4 linked regions of the Sus scrofa genome follow. The protein of the gene in region 1 interacts with the protein of each later gene in a pairwise test. Links are inferred from orthologs where the notes say so. Each region holds a gene or a part of one and is shown on either strand. Other genes may lie near its edges. The genes, in order: CCNC, TRIM39, NDUFV2 and NMNAT1.

Region 1 (3,564 bases):
AATCAGTGAAATACACTATAAAAGTGACATGTGGGAGTGGGAAGAGAGACAAGACAGACTGAGAAGGAAGAGAAGATTAGAGCAGATTTTTTTTTCAGGGCACATTTAATTTACACTTATTAGTGAGATAATTCTAACGTCAGAGTTTCAAGAAATGTGAAAAACATCTTTCAAGGTTACTTTTTGTATTTTGTACTAAGACTAAAACTTGTTCATTCTTAGAATGTTTTCTGTGACTTTGTTAGTTGATTTTCTATAGGTTGTCTGAATCTTTGCTTCTTTTAGTTTGCAATGGATTTTGGATAAACAAGATCTGTTGAAGGAACGCCAAAAGGACTTAAAGTTTCTCTCAGAAGAAGAGTATTGGAAATTACAGATATTTTTTACAAATGGTAAACTTTTTTCTTTTAAATTGGTTTAAATAGTATAGTTGGTTAACTCTGAACTAAGGTGTTTTTCTGTAGTAATTTGTGACTGTTTTAGTCCCTTTATTTTTTTTTTAACATGTGTATTCTCTTTATAACTTAAATGTATTTTTTTAAAGTGACTTATATGTCAGAGATACTCAAGACAATCTAAAAGTGTTAATCTTCCTAAACAGTTATAATGCATCATTAAACCCAGTTTAAGATTGGCTAAAATGAAGTACTTTGAGGATAAATAATTCTTTGGATTGACATCCTGTATTGGTCATTCCTATCTTACAAGTTTGCTTTGGAGAGAAGGGTATTTGGAATTAGAAGGTCTTTGCTGTGCCATGTGGTGGCTTTGTCCAGGATCTTTCTAAGCCTCAGTTCACTCTTATGCAAACCTACCTCTCTGTTGTTTTGAGGATTCATTTTGGATTTTTTATGAACTTTGTAAAACTGATGGGTGTCTGATAAGAGGGGAAATACCTATCATTTAGCCTTAACAAATTTGTAATCCTAGTACTAGACCACTGTGATCCACGTAGAGCATTATAGCATGTGTAAATTTTTCTCTTTGTTAAAAATGAATATAGTCATGATTTAACTGCATGGAAGTTATTGTTCAGTGTTAATATTATATTGATATCAGATTTTATTATTATTATTTTTCTTTTAGTTATCCAAGCATTAGGTGAACATCTTAAATTAAGACAACAAGTTATTGCCACTGCTACGGTCTATTTCAAGAGATTCTATGCCAGGTAGGGCTGTGTTATTTTGGGACTGTTATTTGTATTTAAAATATCATGTATTTGAAACTCTTATGTAATGAGGATGAAACTTATGTAAGTAAATCATGTGTTTGCTATAGAGTTGGCCTGATTTTTTTCCCATATAGATGTTTTCTGTATGAATTCTATTTTCATTTGTGTTTGGTCTATGAATATTGCTTAACTTTGTTTAATTAATTGTATTTTTAGGTATTCTCTGAAAAGTATAGATCCTGTATTAATGGCTCCTACATGTGTGTTTTTGGCATCCAAAGTAGAGGTATGAACTAATTTTCTGTTCTTCATCAAAGTACAGTCAACGGTATTGGTTAAACCCAGTTTTCACATTACCTGTGTAAAAATAATAAGATGATGATTTACATAAAATATTGAAATTTGTACAAAATCAAAGAAGTATATGCATATCTTTATTTTATATATTCAGTTAAAAAGCACTTATGTAACACTTTACTATGTGCCAAGTGCTATTCTAAGTCCTCTTACAAATATTTTAATCCTCATAACAAACTATGGGGTATATATTTGTAATATCATTTTATAAGTGAAGAAACTGAGACACAAAAAGATTAAGGAGCTGATAAGTGACAGGGTATTTTAACCCTAGGAGTCTAGCTTCTAATCCTATTCTCCTTTTTTTTGTTTTTTTGTTTTTTTTTTTGTTTGTTTGTTTTTGCCTTTTCTAGGGCCACTCCCACAGTATATGGAGATTCCCAGGCTAGGGGTCTAATTCCATAGCCTCCAGCCTATGCCAGAGCCATAGCAACAAGGGATCCGAACCACGTCTGCAACCTACACCACAGCTCAGTGCTTAAATCACTGAGCAAGGCCAGGGATTGAACCCGCAACCTCATGGTTCCTAGTCAGATTCCTTAACCACTGTGCCACGACGGGAACTCCTCCCATACTCTTAACTGCTTTGCTTTACTACCTTTAAGATATTTATTGTTTGGTTCTAAGGAGTATTTCATAATTGCCACAGCTTATCCACTATAACTTGAGAATGTTCTTCCTTCTCAAACTCCATATGTGTCCTATGTCCTGCTGTTTTTCCTTCCTGCCTCCTAATGATTGGTTGCCTAGGAGAACCAGAGTAGCTGCAGATATACTCCTTCTAGCAAGGAATAATTTGGGTTGTGAAGGTTGAGAAATTAGGTGAGAAAGAGAAGAGAGATGGGAACCTGCAGCTGAGACCAAATCTTGGATCACTTTATTTACCCTTTCAGTATTTTTTGAGAGAGCTCAGCTAAAATCCAGGTACTAATAGCACGTATTGACTGGTGTTCATAATAATTCATGTTATCTTAGGTAATATGAATCCTATGTATTATGTTTCTATTTTTAGATGATGTCTTCAGAATAGTAATTGCTTCCTTTAATATTGAATGTAATTGTAAGTGGTAATTTAAGGAGGCAGAACCAGCCCTGTTGTTTTTTAAGAAAGTGATTGTAAAAGGTCTGTATTATGGGGTGGTTTTCCCAAATATCACCATATAATTTTATGTGGCTGAAGGACAGCCAATATGGGTAACCAAGATCAAATCTTTATAAACTTTTACTTTTATAAATTAACTTGGAGTTTTATCCTAGTTATATCCTTGTAACAATATCTTTTGCTACATGACTTGCTGAGTATAACCCTATTTTATGATTTACTAAGTGAAAGCTTTTGCTTTAAGAATTTTAAGGTAAAGAATTATCCCTAGGAAAAAATGTATCCTTTCATATTCAGTTATAGCATTTTTTTTTATCTTTATGACCAAATCTATCTGTGTTTTGTCTGCTTGTGTGAAAATTGTATTGAAAGACATTAAAAAGATGTCTCAGGCATTTAATTTCCAGTTTCAGTTATTACAGTTTGAGGTTTAAATGTAAATATAAATATATACACAGGCATACACAGGTGCCGTCTCCCCCCACCACTGTGGGTTTTTGAATAAACTATATATGGTTTAGTTTCTTTTGTTGGATAAGGAACCAATTCTTGATTTTTTTTCAGCTTTAAAATAAAGAGTTTAGTAATCCTATAAAGTTAGTAAAATGAAATGAGACTGTATGTAAGATGAAACACCTCATAAATTTTAGTTATTTTTAGAGAGTTCCATTGTGGCTCAGGGGGTTATGAACCTGACTAGTGTCCATGAGGAGTTGGGTTCCATCCCTGGCCTTGCTCAGTGGGTTAAAGATCCAGCATTGCCATGAGCTGCGGTGTAGGTTGTAGATACGGCTTGGATCCCGCCTGGCTGTGGCTGTGGCATAGGCTGGCAGCTGCAGCTCCAGTTCAACCCTTAGCCTGGGAACTTCCATATGCCACAGGAATGGTCCTAAAAAGTTTAAACAAAAATAAGTTGTTTTAGTTATTTTCA
Region 2 (4,150 bases), on another chromosome or scaffold:
CTAGTACAGTTGCCATGAATTTATCACTTTCTAGCAGTTCCAAAAGTCCAAATGCACACAAATAGAAATGAGTTGTTGTATGAATCATTTCATTCCGAAAAGATAGCACACTTCCTCTAGGCTAGCCTGCTAAAAGGAAGAATAATTCCAGACTTCTGAAAAAAAGAGGTTGTTACCCTTGCCTAACTCACTCCATTTATTACCGTTTGAAAGAGTGAGAGAACAATGCCAGAGAATCAAGCTTAGGTTCCAATGGGCTATTGTAGTAAAACTCTTCTGTAACATTACGCTTTAATGCATACTTAAGGAACCTTAATTAGGAGTTCCTGCTGTGCTGTAGTGGGTTAAGGATCTGGCATTGCTACAGCTGTGGCATAGGTCACAGCTTCAGCTGGGATTCGATCCCTGGCCCCAGGGAACTTCCATATGCCACGGGTGCAGCCAAAAAAGAAAAGAAAGAAAGAAACCTTAATGCTTGACTTTTATGGCACATTCCACTTTCTGAAACTCCTTTCTCATCCATTAGAAAAAATATGTCGGGGAGTTCCCATTGTGGCGCAGCGGACACAAATCCTACTAGTATCCATGAAGATGCAGGTTCAATCCCTGGCCTTGCTTGGATTGCCATGAGCCATGGTGTAGGTTGCAGATGCAGCTCTGCTTCAGAGTTGCTGTGGCTGTGGTATAATTGGCCGGCAGCTGTAGCTCCAAATTGACCAGTAGCCTGAGAACTTCCATATGCTGTGGAAGTTCTTTTTTTGGCCCTAAAAAGCAAAAAGAAAAATGTGTTGGAGTTCTTTGGTGGCTCAGCCAGTTAAGGATCTGACATTTTCACTGCTGTGGCTTTGGTTCAGTCCCTGGCCTGGGAACTTCCACCTGCCATGGGCACAGCCAAAAAAGATAAGTATGTCCAACCAGGAATTCATTGGTCTGGAACTATTGGTTCTAAGACACAAATGGAATGAAACAGAATCAGGAGAAGTACTTTGGGCTAAAGTTGAAAGGGGCCTCTGTTTCTAACAAGAGGAAGTGATAATAGACAAGAGATTGAGGGTTATATGTCAGTTTGCTGCAGAGAAAAAAAAAGTTAATGTCTGGGAGTCACAAGTTTTGGAAATGGAGAAACAAAAGAGCTTGACTAGTGGGAGAGAAGATGTAAAATACCACGAAGGGACTAAATCTGCAGTTAGCGTTTAACATGGACGTACATGTCAGGTCAGGGATGCCAAAAAATTAAACCTCCAATTAACATTTTTCTTTCCTCTTCCCCCTTCCTAACTTCAAGTTAAATAATGGCAGAGACAAGTCTGTTAGAGGCCGGGGCCTCTGCAGCCTCCACAGCTGCAGCGCTGGAGAACTTACAGGTGGAGGCAAGTTGTTCTGTGTGCCTGGAGTATCTGAAGGAGCCTGTCATCATTGAGTGTGGGCACAACTTCTGCAAAGCTTGCATCACCCGCTGGTGGGAGGACCTAGAGAGGGACTTCCCTTGCCCTGTCTGTCGAAAGACATCCCGCTACCGCAGCCTCCGGCCTAATCGACAGCTGGGCAGTATGGTGGAAATTGCCAAGCAGCTCCAAGCTGTCAAGCGGAAGATCCGAGATGAGAGCCTCTGCCCCCAGCACCACGAGGCCCTCAGCCTCTTCTGCTATGAGGACCAGGAGGCTGTCTGTTTGATATGTGCAATTTCCCACACTCACCGGGCCCATACCGTTGTGCCACTGGATGATGCCACCCAGGAGTACAAGGTAAGGAACCAGACACATGATGCTAATGCAGGGCAAGGGAGAGGAGTGCAGAGGGTGAGAGATTCCCTGGGTAGAAGATCATAAGTTCCTGAGGGCAAGATGGTATCTGGTCCTCACTCTGTATTCCCCTCAGAGCTACATACACTAGGCACACAGCACATCTGATCAGTTATCCTCAGGCATGAAGAAGAGCAGTGAGAGGAGTTCCCATCATGGCACAGTGGAAAGAAATCTGACTAGGAACCATGAGGTTGCAGGTTTGATCCCTGGCCTTGCTCAGAGGGTTAAGGATCCAGTGTTGCCATGAGCTATGGTGTAGGTCGCAGACACGGCTCAGATCTGGCATGGCTGCACCTGTGTCATAGGTCAGCAGCTGTAGCTTCCGTTGGACCCCTAGCCTGGGAACCTCCATATGCTGCAGGTACGGCCCTAAAAAGCAAAAAAAAAGCAATGAGAAATATCCCAAAATTTCTCTCTGACTTTTATAACACATCTGCGTATGTGTGGTCCTGGAATGTATTATGTTTTTCACAAGTGAATGAAACCGCATGGAGAAGATCAAATTTAGGAAGAACTGAAAGGTAGTCTGGTTTCTTCATTCTTTCCTCCTGCTCACATGCCCCTTGTTTAACCTAGTATTGGGCATAGATAACATCACTTTAGAATGACCTCCACCAGGCCAAGCTGAACCAGTCTGTTTGCATCTTGCCTGGATGATAGATAACATGGTATACGGATTAACTTACCACTGGGACCCAGGATACATGTTTGAGTAATAGGAACTCGAGATTTTAATGTCTTAGCACTTTATCAAGAACTTTGACCAATTATATTAGTAAAATCTTAGAAATAAGATTTTATGGTAGTTTCCAAAATAAGTAATCAAGATTGTATTATATTTGCAAGTGGTTAGAGTTGGATAGGACAACAATTTAAAGAAAGATATCAGGGGACAGGAGGTCACTTTGACAGTAATAGGCAGTTCCATGAGTAAGAAAATGAACAGGGCAGGAGAAGGACAGAGAGTTGGTGACAGCTGGACACTGTGAGATTCAGTGAAAGGAAAGTTTGGTGAACAAAGAAAGTGATATGGAGACAGGTTGGTGGCAGGAAGAGGGACCTGTAGGAAATTGACACCCCAAATGACAGACAAGGCAGTTGCATCAAGAGGTGGTAAGAGATGGATAGGAAGCAAAACAAATGATTTAAAACAAATGGGTTAGTTTCTGAACATAGGATGTACCAGATAATCCCAAATGCCATTCTCCCACTTTGCACCCCTCAGGAAAAACTGCAGAAGTGCCTGGAGCCCCTGGAGCAGAAGCTACAGGAGATCACCCGCTGCAAGTCCTCTGAGGAGAAGAAGCCTGGCGAACTCAAGGTAAAGGCAGGAGATCCATTTGGGCTGCTCTACAGGCAGTTAACCAAACATTAACCACACATTATTTAACCCCCCCAGTTCTGGTTCCTTAGAAAAATGCTATTCTCGGAGCTCCCGCTGTGGCACGGTGGGTTAAGGATCCCTCGTTGTCTCTGAGGCAGCAAGGGTTCAATCCCCGGCCCAGTGCAGTGAATTAAGGATTCATCGTTGCCACAGCTGTGGTGTTAGGTTGCAGCTGTGGCTGAGATTCAGTCCCTGGCCCAGGAACTTCTATACGCGGCCATAAAAAGAAAGAAAAAGAAAAATGCTGTTCTCTCAGAAATGATGGTATTTTTATTAAGCTTGATTGTCATTAAACATTGTACTTAGATTAATTGTCATGGATTAAGTATTGAGAAAGATGGAAGAGGTGAAGGACAGAATATCTTATATCTGTGGAGTTGAGGGAGTTCATGCCTGTTGGTCTCCTTTTCTTTGTAAGGCAGGGAAGAAGGCTCTCTGCTGAGTGGGCAGGGATAGGAGTTTCTTAGAGGGATTGAGGCAAGAAGAATGTGGAAGATGCACTCGGGAGGAAGGATGGAGGAGCTGCCCAGTAACCTCTAGACCACATTCTCTTAACTCAAGTAAACTCAAAAATGCTAGATGAGGTTAGTTTCTAGGATAGTCTTCCTTTCCCCATCCTCTACTGTAGGATCCTATTGGTGAAAACCACTGCTTATGTAGCCTTTCTGGAACCTTTAGAAATTGGCTCTTTTAATTTGCATACAGTTTTGCATCTCTTCCATAGCATTAACATATTTGTAGCATGGTATTTTGGTATCTGTCCTATTTCTTCTATTGGACAGTGAGACATGTATTAATAGTAGCAGTAATAATAACTAGTATTTATTGAGCCCTGAGCATTAATTCATTAGGTATCCAAGACATTCCAAACTTTCAGGATTGTGTTAGGTCTTAGAGTTCTGCCCGGATTGAAGTTCTAAGAATTCAGGCTAGACTTGGCTCAAATGGGACGTAGAGAAGG
Region 3 (4,114 bases), on another chromosome or scaffold:
CAAAGGAATGGGAACCAAGGCATTTGGTGTGTCTATTTCTAGCTGGCTGGTAGCCCTACATGACTCGAATTCCCTAACTTGTAAAATATGATTCATAGGACTTGCTATGGGATATTTTAGAATTTTTTAAATAATGAGGGATTAAAAAACAAACAAACAAAAAAAACAAAAAACAAACCTGCACTAATGTGAAAGTTCCAGAAATCATTCAGAAGTATATTATGGCAAAGAAAAGAGGCAAAAAGAAGGGAGTGGGTACAGGACATAAAAGGAAAGGCCCTGAAGGGAGAAATCAAGAGGCAGTAAGCGCCTGGTACACCCTCCACAGCAGGAAACAGCACTCTACATATTATAGCTATTAGTGAATAAGCACTTGCTGGAATTTCCAAAGATGACCAAACAAACACCAAAAAGGAAGTGGCTTTTTTTTTTTTTTTTTGGAAAGTTTTATTATGGAAAAATTTCTAACATGTTCAAAGTACCGAGAATAGCAATGAGAACTACCACGCGGCTTCAAGTCATCACTCAGGGCCAATCTTGTTTCCTTTCTACCTCCCACTCTGCATTATTCCGAAGCAAATTCCAGATATCTTATTATTTTGCCCCTAAATATGTAAGCATGCATCCCTAAAGCAAAAGAGTGGGAACCAGGGCATTTGGTGTCCATGCCTAGCCCTCTGCGTGGCAGCCAGCCCTCTGTATCTTCAATTCTGCAAATTCTTCAATTTGTAAAATACGATTTATAGGGGGTTGCAACGAAATTTTTTTGTTTTTTAAGGAACTGCAATCAAAAATAAGGTTAGGAGTTCCCGTCGTGGCGCAGTGGTTAACGAATCCGACTAGGAACCATGAGGTTGCGGGTTCCATCCCTGCCCTTGCTCAGTGGGTCAAGGTTCCGGTGTTGCCGTGAGCTGTGGTGTAGGTCACAGACGCGGCTCGGATCCCGCGTTGCTGTGGCTCTGGCGTAGGCTGGCAGCTACAGCTCCGATTCGACCCCTAGCCCGGGAACCTCCATATGCCGCAAGAGCGGCCCAAGAAATGGCAAAAAGACAAAAAAAAAAAAAAAAAAGGTTAAATCCTGACAGGGCTCCAGTAGGGTAGCCCACCTCATAAACTCCGGTGCGCGGGGCCCCTAGGGGACAACGCCCTTCAGGGCGGGATACAAGGCAACACCCCCCGGGACCTGACCTCCTAGGGCGCCGGCGGGTTCTTGCAGCGGCCATTGGCCTCAGCCGTACCCGCGCGCCCCTGCCGCCCAGGGCGCGCAGGCTGGGCTCGGGGGCGCGCACGCCGTGCGTCCCGGCGCTCGCGATTCCTCCTGGCGCGGTCGGAAAGGCCCGCAGTTTGGCCCGCCATGTTTCTCACCGCAGCGCTCCGGGCACGGGCTACGGGCTTCACCGCCCAGTGGGTAAGGAGGCTCGAATGTGCGCCGGCGCTGCCGCTGCCCTCTCCCTCTCTCCCGGCCTCCTCTAGCGGCCGGCACAGGGCACGCCGGGCACGAGACGGCCTGCGGGCGACGGCAAGGACGCCGCGGCCTTCGCCCGCTCTTGAGGAGGCCGCGCGTCCGAGGACCTAGGGAGGGGCGGTGGGGAGGCCTCCTCAGGACGGGAGGCCCGAGTCAGTGCGCGGGGCGTCCCAGGGGCGTCTGGAACTCGGCGGGTGTCTCCTTGGGCCGCGGGAGGGCGGCACCGGCGTACCCTTGACTGCGACTGTGCTGCGTGTTGGAACCCAGGGCTCCCTGCACCTCGCACCCCGGGCGGCGAAGCCTCTGCCGGCTCCTGAGGTCTCAGAACGTCACGCTTTAGACAGCGACCTTGGAGCTCAGGCTGAAACACTCGCTTGCTCTGACTTAAAGATGAACATTCCAGAAATGACGATGATGATGACGGGGCGCTTACGGGAAAGAAAGCTTTCTTTACCTGCACCAGTAAAATAGAAAGGTTGAGTCAGTTTTCAGCCGAACGGAGGGGTTAGTGCACAGCAGTATAGGATGAGCGCAGGGCCTTGCAGTTAGACCTGAGTTTGGATGGAGGCTTCACCGCCTTTTCTAGTTTTGTGACTGGACTGTTCTCACTTGGTTTCCTCAGTTGTCAAATGGGAATATTTCAATTTGTAGAGTTTAGTCTTTCAGTAAAGTTTGAGATTCTACTGTTCCTGTTGGGTTCCAGGTGTCAAGGTGGAGAATAATGGTAGGTGTGACTGCTTTCTGTGCACCAAGCACTGTGTTATTTACCTTCAAAACCTAATTCGTGAGGTTGGTACTGTTACTTCCCCATATTACAGTGAAATGGATTTAGACAATCCCTGTTCTTGTAGAGTTGATAGTTTTATGGACTAGGAACTTAAGGTAGTAGGTATTGAATAGTGTAAAAGTATAGTTAGGTGACCCTTGAACAGATTTGTACTCAGTGGTCCACTTATAAGCGAGGTCCCCCCACCCCGTAGCAGTAAGTACAGTACTGCAGGATCCTGGGTATGGAGAAACCTCATATTTGGAGGTCTGACTCTTAAGTTATTATATTTGGATTTTCAGCTATTTCGAGGGTCCACACTTCTAACCCTTAGTATTGTTCAAGAGTCAGCCGTACAGTGTTAGAGATATGAATAAGATCATCCAGTTTAGTTTGAAGGTGGTGTAAGATTTTTCCTGTAAGTAATAGGAATAGATTGGGGATGGGGCCAAATGGATAGGGAGGGTGTTCTAGGTGGAAAGGACAAGATAAGAAAAACAATATTAGGAACAGCAAATATAATAAGTTCAAAAAATAAAAATCGCCCATAGTTTTATCAAATTGAACATTAACAAAATGTTAACATTTTGATATCTGCACATAAAGGACCTTACAGAAAAATTTTTTTGTAAAAATCAGATGGTATTGTTCATACAGTTTTGTAGCCTGTTTTCTCCCATTATACATTTTGATTAGCTTTGCTTATGAATAAACTTTTTATTTAAAAAAATTTTTTTATTTTTAAGGGCTGCACCTGTGGCATGTGGAGGTTCCCAGGCTAGGGGTTGAATTGGAGCTGCAGCCGCCAGCTTACGACACAGCCACAGCAATGCCAGATACAAGCCACATCTGCTCATGGCATCGATGGATCCTTAACCCACTGAGCGAGACCAGGGATTGAACCTGCATCCTCATGGATGCCAGTCAGATTTGTTTCTGCTGAGCCAGGATGGGAACTCCCATTTTTTTAAGTTTTTTTAAATTTTTAAAAAAAATTTTTATTTTAATGGCTGCTCCTGTGGAATATGGAAGTTCCCAGACCAGGGATTGAATCGAAGCTGCAGCTTCAGCCTTTGTCACAGCTGCAGAGCAACACTGGATCCTTTAACCTACTGCACTCAGCTGGGGAGCAAACCCACGCCTCCACAGTGACCCAAGTCAGATTGTTAATCCACTGTATCACAGTGGGAACTCCCTATACTGTCATTTTTAATGCTGCATAGCATGCCATTGTGAGGATGTTCTATAATTTATATAACCAGGCCCTTTTAACCCATTACAAATAGTGGAATATCAGAATGACCTAGCAAAAAGCAGGAAAAATGTGAGTAAAGAGGTCTCACTAATAAAGTTCCTTTCCTGAAAGGGAAACTTTTAGGAGTTCTCTTGTTGCACAGCAGGTTAAGGATCCAGCAATGTCACTGTCACAGCTTGGGTTGCTGTTGTGGCATGGGTTTGTTCCCTGACCTGGGAGGAGCCCCCCCCAAATAAAGAAGGCTTTAAGGAAATCATTTTCAAAGAAATTGCGTATTTTCTTGTAATTTCTGCTTTATTAGCTAGTTGCCAGTTATTTTAGCCACAGGCTTTTCATCTTGTCATTGCTTAACAAATACCTAGAATTTAGTACTGTGCCTGGAAGTCACTAGTTATTTGACCTTGAGCCATATTTCTTAAGCTCCTTGAGCTTTATTTTTCTTTTCTGTAAGTACAGTAGTACCTCGTTGAGTGATTGTCAAGAATTGCCTAAAAATTATGAAATATGGAAAATAGGTACTCAGAATAGGTTTATTTCCATCTTTCCTTGAGTAATTGCCCATGGCTTTCTGTAATGTTGACACTATTTTATGGCTCATCATTGCCTCGCTACCAAGCCACTGATTAGC
Region 4 (4,041 bases), on another chromosome or scaffold:
CACATCCTCCGCATATGGAGGTTCCCAGGCTAGGGGTTGAATCAGAGCTGTAGCTGCCAGCCTATACCACAGTCTCAGCAATGCCAGATCCAAGCTGCATCTGCAGCCTACACCACAGCTCATGGCAATGCCAGATCCTTAACCTACTGAGCAAGGCTGCATATTGCTTGCTTCTTCCACTGCATCCTACATCTTTTTTTTTTTTTTTTTTGTCTTTTTGTTTTTTCCAGGGCTGCACCTGTGGCATATGGAGGTTCCCAGGCTAGGGGTCTAACGGGAGCAGTAGCTGCTGGCCTACACCACGGGAGCAGCAATGTGGGATCTGAACCGCACCTGTGACCTACACCACAGCCCACGGCAATGCTGGATCCCCAGCCCACCGAGCAAGGCCAGGGATTGAACCTGAAACCTAATGGTTCCTAGTCAGATTCGTTAACCACTGAGCCACAGTGGGAACTCCTGCATCCTACATCTTATTCTCTATTTAGCACTATGTCTGCCTTGAATTATATGTGATTCATTATAGCTTATTGTTTGTCTGTTTTCCTCTCCAGACTGTAAAATGAGAGCAGAAAATAAGTCTCATTCCTTTCTTAGCCTAATCAGCATTTAGTTCAGACTAGGTATTTGATATGTATAAAGGTACAACATATTTTAAGATTAACCTTGTCTAAACGAACTTCAGGGAAGAAAGAGACACTTTGGTTTTGTATTGGGGGTTTTTTGGTCGCACCCACACCAGAAGGAAGTTCCAGGGGCCAGGGATGGAACCCGCTGCCACAGCAGTGACCTGAGCCACAGCAGTGATAATGCCAGATCCTTAACTCACTGAGCGACTAGGGAACTCCTTAAAAAAAAAAAAAAAAAAAAAAAAAACCACAAAACCCTTTTAAGAATCTTAACCTAGTGCTACATTAGTTGAGATTCGTCCTATAAAGATTAACTCGCGGGCACCACCTAGTATTCAACAAAGGTGGTGCACCTTTTACGCAAACAGCCAAATTACTCCCCCAAACTGTACTCTGGAGTGGAAGGTACTCATTCACGCTCACCTTTCTCTTAGCACTCCGAACTCTGCTTAGTGCTGACTGGTCTCAAACTGCATAAAACCGCCAGTTCTTGTAGTTTCAAGTGTTATAAACTTGAGGAACGCGAAACTGTTCATCAGGGCAAGAAGTTCAAAGTTCAAACCACCTGAGGGTGGAGCTGGCTGGAAAAGGGAACAATTGACAAGCAGTTTTATTCACTATATATAAACGTGGCCTAAAGCAGTTCGGAAAACTTCCACTTGGGCGGCCTGCGACTGCACCCTCTCTTTCCGGCTCCTAGGGAGACATCGTAGGAGCAGGGGGCAGGTGTGGAGGAGAGGGTGAAATCCGCTTTCCTTCTGACTGTGCGGGCAGTCTTTGAGGCTTTTCCTGGTGAGACCGAGTGCGTTACTGAGGAAAACGCCGCACCCTAAACTGCCTTGAGGGAAGCTGTCAAACCCAGAAGCACGAAAAAGATAAAGGTGGAGCGCACACGTTTTCCTGGCTGGAAGTGAGCGGCTTCTGAACCTCGACCTTCCGGACGGGGTCAGGCAGCAGCTCCGGCCACCGCCCCAAATTCCATCTCCCACCAGGGAACCTGAAGCTCCCGCACTTGGGACTGGCGGCGGCCGGGTCGACTAGGCCTGGTTGCTCCCAGGCGTCGCCGGGATCCCGGCGCCCCCAAAGCTCTTCGGTCTTCCCAGACCAGAACCCGAACCACCCCCTCGGGGTCCCCTCTCCGCCTCCGCCCACCACGCCTGGTCCGAGAGTTCACAGCCAGGGGCCCCGCCTACCTGAGGGTCCGGGCCCCGCGGACGCGTGCAGGTGAAGCACTTCCGCCAAACGCACGCACTTCCGACCGCCTGGAGCCAATGAGGGCGCGGCTACGAGTGTTACCGTCACTGGTATCCGGGTTGCGGACTGTCTCCCGGAGGACTCGGGCCAGTAGCGTGGTAAGCCCCTACCCGGAGACCCTGACAAACCGGGCTCTGGGGGAGTCAGCCAAGGACTCCTTTTTAAAATCGCAAGTGCAAGGGAGTCCAAGATGGTGGGGTTTTTGAGGGTCAAATGCAGCCGTCCCCGAAGCAAGGTCTCAATCAAGTTTGAGGCTGGGAGTCTTGTCCCTTCCTTTAGAATTTTCTCTGTAGAACCAAAAATCTCGGTAAAGTTGCCTCTGGCCTTTGGAACAGGTGAATTCACCCTGGGGGAAAAACTCCTTCTTGGGCAGAAGTGAGGGGGGCGAGGCACTTCCCCTTTTTCCCGCAAATCCTTTTTTCCAGGTCTGTGAAAGACTGGATTACGAAGCAGTTTGACACCAATTCGTCTTGGAAAGGAGACTGCGAGCCGTTGGGCAACATTCTAAAAGTTACTCAGAAGTTAGGTGGAAATTGTTTTCACATGTTCCCAGCCCAGCTCCTTGAAGTCATTAGTCCACAAGACAACCTCAGGGTTTACAGCGAAATTGTTAAACAGGTGTTGTCTTTAAAGTTAATTCTAGGAATTCCCTGGTGGCTCAGTGGGTTAAAGATCTGGCATAGTCACTGCTGTGGCAGGGGTTGATTCCTGGCCCAGGAACTTCCACAGGCCCAGGAGCCTGGCCAGAAATAAAAATAAAGTTAATTTTAACTCAGCCACCCAGGACACACTTCCTAGATCACCACAGAACTCCACCAGAATGAATTATTTGTCATTTCTGTCCAATCATAGAAATTCTTATTTATCACCATAAATTGTTTTTCAGAGTTACAATTTGGTTGTGAAATCGCAGTTCTAAGTCCAACACAGAAGAGAAGTTGACACACAAGTTGGAATGGTTCCAATGGCCTACTGTGCAAAACTATTCAGATTCATAGAATTTCCTTTGTAAAAGTAAGTGGCTGTTACGTATTTTTTTGTTATTGTTAACAAGTGGTAAATATATTGTGTATCAAGCAAGCCTCTTAAGTTTAGATAATTTTTATCGAAGTATAGTTGATTTACAATGTGTTAATTTCTGCTGGACAGCAAGGTCATTCCGTTTTATATGTACATAATGTATGTATGCATTGTTTTTTATATTCTTTTCCATTCTGGTTTGTTTCAGATATTGAGTATAGTTCCCTGTGCTATGCAGTAGGACTTTGCTGTTTATCCGTTCTGTGTAATAATAGTTTGCATCTGCTAACCCCAGACTCCCAGTCCGTTCCTCTCCCATTCCCCTCCCTGTTGGCAACCGCAAGTCTGTTCTCTAAGTCTGTTTCTAATTCGTAGATAGGTTCATTTGTGTCGTATGTTAGATTCCACGTGTAAGTGGTATATGGTATGTGTCTTTTCTTTCTGATTTCACTTCGTATGATAATCTCTAGTTCCATCCATGTTGCTGCAGATGACATTATTTTGTTCTTTTTTATAGCTAAGTAGCATTCCAGTGTGTGCATATGTGTATATATATATATATACATATATGCACAATGGATTTACATACAAAGTATATAATGTATATACAGTGGAGTATATAAATATGCAGTGATAATGTGACTATGTGTGGAAATGTTTTTGTAGAATATCAAAATCTCAATGACAAATAGGGTCAGTGCCACATACAACAAAGCTGGAAAATATCCTTCTTTCACCATTTGAAGTACTTGCTGAATAAACATTTTCTCACTGGGTTCTTCCCCTAATTTTTATGGTGATAATACAGAGTTCTACTTAGGCATTTGTGTTGGTTTTAGAGGGTGCGAGCAATCTTAGAAGCTGTGGAGGAAAGGCCTCACTGTACAAGCATCGTGCTTACCTGCTCTTCATTCTTGGTAACTTAATCTGATTCCGCAGTTCAGATTCCGAGAGTATTCTTACATACCTTTGGGTTCTTGTTTAAAGCTAATGGATAGTGAAAAAGCATTCCTAGTGCATAGGCAAGAGAAATTGGTTTTGGTTCAAGTTCTCAAACAAAGATAGAATCTAAGCCTAAAAAGAGGATGGGGAGGGAAGAGAAGAAATTGGGAAAAGAGGAATGAATGTTAGGTAGGTA

The links.
Region 2: the proteins of CCNC (region 1) and TRIM39 interact in binary tests that used the Homo sapiens proteins (3 or more experiments, as listed by UniProt). The two-hybrid records come from large-scale screens. The link is inferred for Sus scrofa from reciprocal best matches to the Homo sapiens genes CCNC and TRIM39.
Region 3: the proteins of CCNC (region 1) and NDUFV2 interact in binary tests that used the Homo sapiens proteins (3 or more experiments, as listed by UniProt). The link is inferred for Sus scrofa from reciprocal best matches to the Homo sapiens genes CCNC and NDUFV2.
Region 4: the proteins of CCNC (region 1) and NMNAT1 interact in binary tests that used the Homo sapiens proteins (3 or more experiments, as listed by UniProt). The two-hybrid records come from large-scale screens. The link is inferred for Sus scrofa from reciprocal best matches to the Homo sapiens genes CCNC and NMNAT1.

The regions. Positions count from the first base shown.
Region 1 is NC_010443.5:66,489,717-66,493,280, reverse strand, and holds part of CCNC (cyclin-C), read left to right. Parts: intron 1-259; exon of another isoform or gene 260-285; coding exon 286-392; intron 393-1,086; coding exon 1,087-1,171; intron 1,172-1,390; coding exon 1,391-1,460; intron 1,461-3,564. UniProt on the Homo sapiens protein: Component of the Mediator complex, a coactivator involved in regulated gene transcription of nearly all RNA polymerase II-dependent genes.
Region 2 is NC_010449.5:23,048,910-23,053,059, forward strand, and holds the start of TRIM39 (tripartite motif-containing protein 39), read left to right. Parts: upstream 1-1,292; coding exon 1,293-1,745; intron 1,746-3,030; coding exon 3,031-3,126; intron 3,127-4,150.
Region 3 is NC_010448.4:98,849,752-98,853,865, reverse strand, and holds the start of NDUFV2 (NADH dehydrogenase [ubiquinone] flavoprotein 2, mitochondrial), read left to right. Parts: upstream 1-1,304; 5' UTR 1,305-1,354; coding exon 1,355-1,408; intron 1,409-4,114.
Region 4 is NC_010448.4:70,270,079-70,274,119, forward strand, and holds the start of NMNAT1 (nicotinamide/nicotinic acid mononucleotide adenylyltransferase 1), read left to right. Parts: upstream 1-1,217; 5' UTR 1,218-1,981; intron 1,982-2,169; exon of another isoform or gene 2,170-2,501; intron 2,502-2,769; 5' UTR 2,770-2,897; intron 2,898-4,041.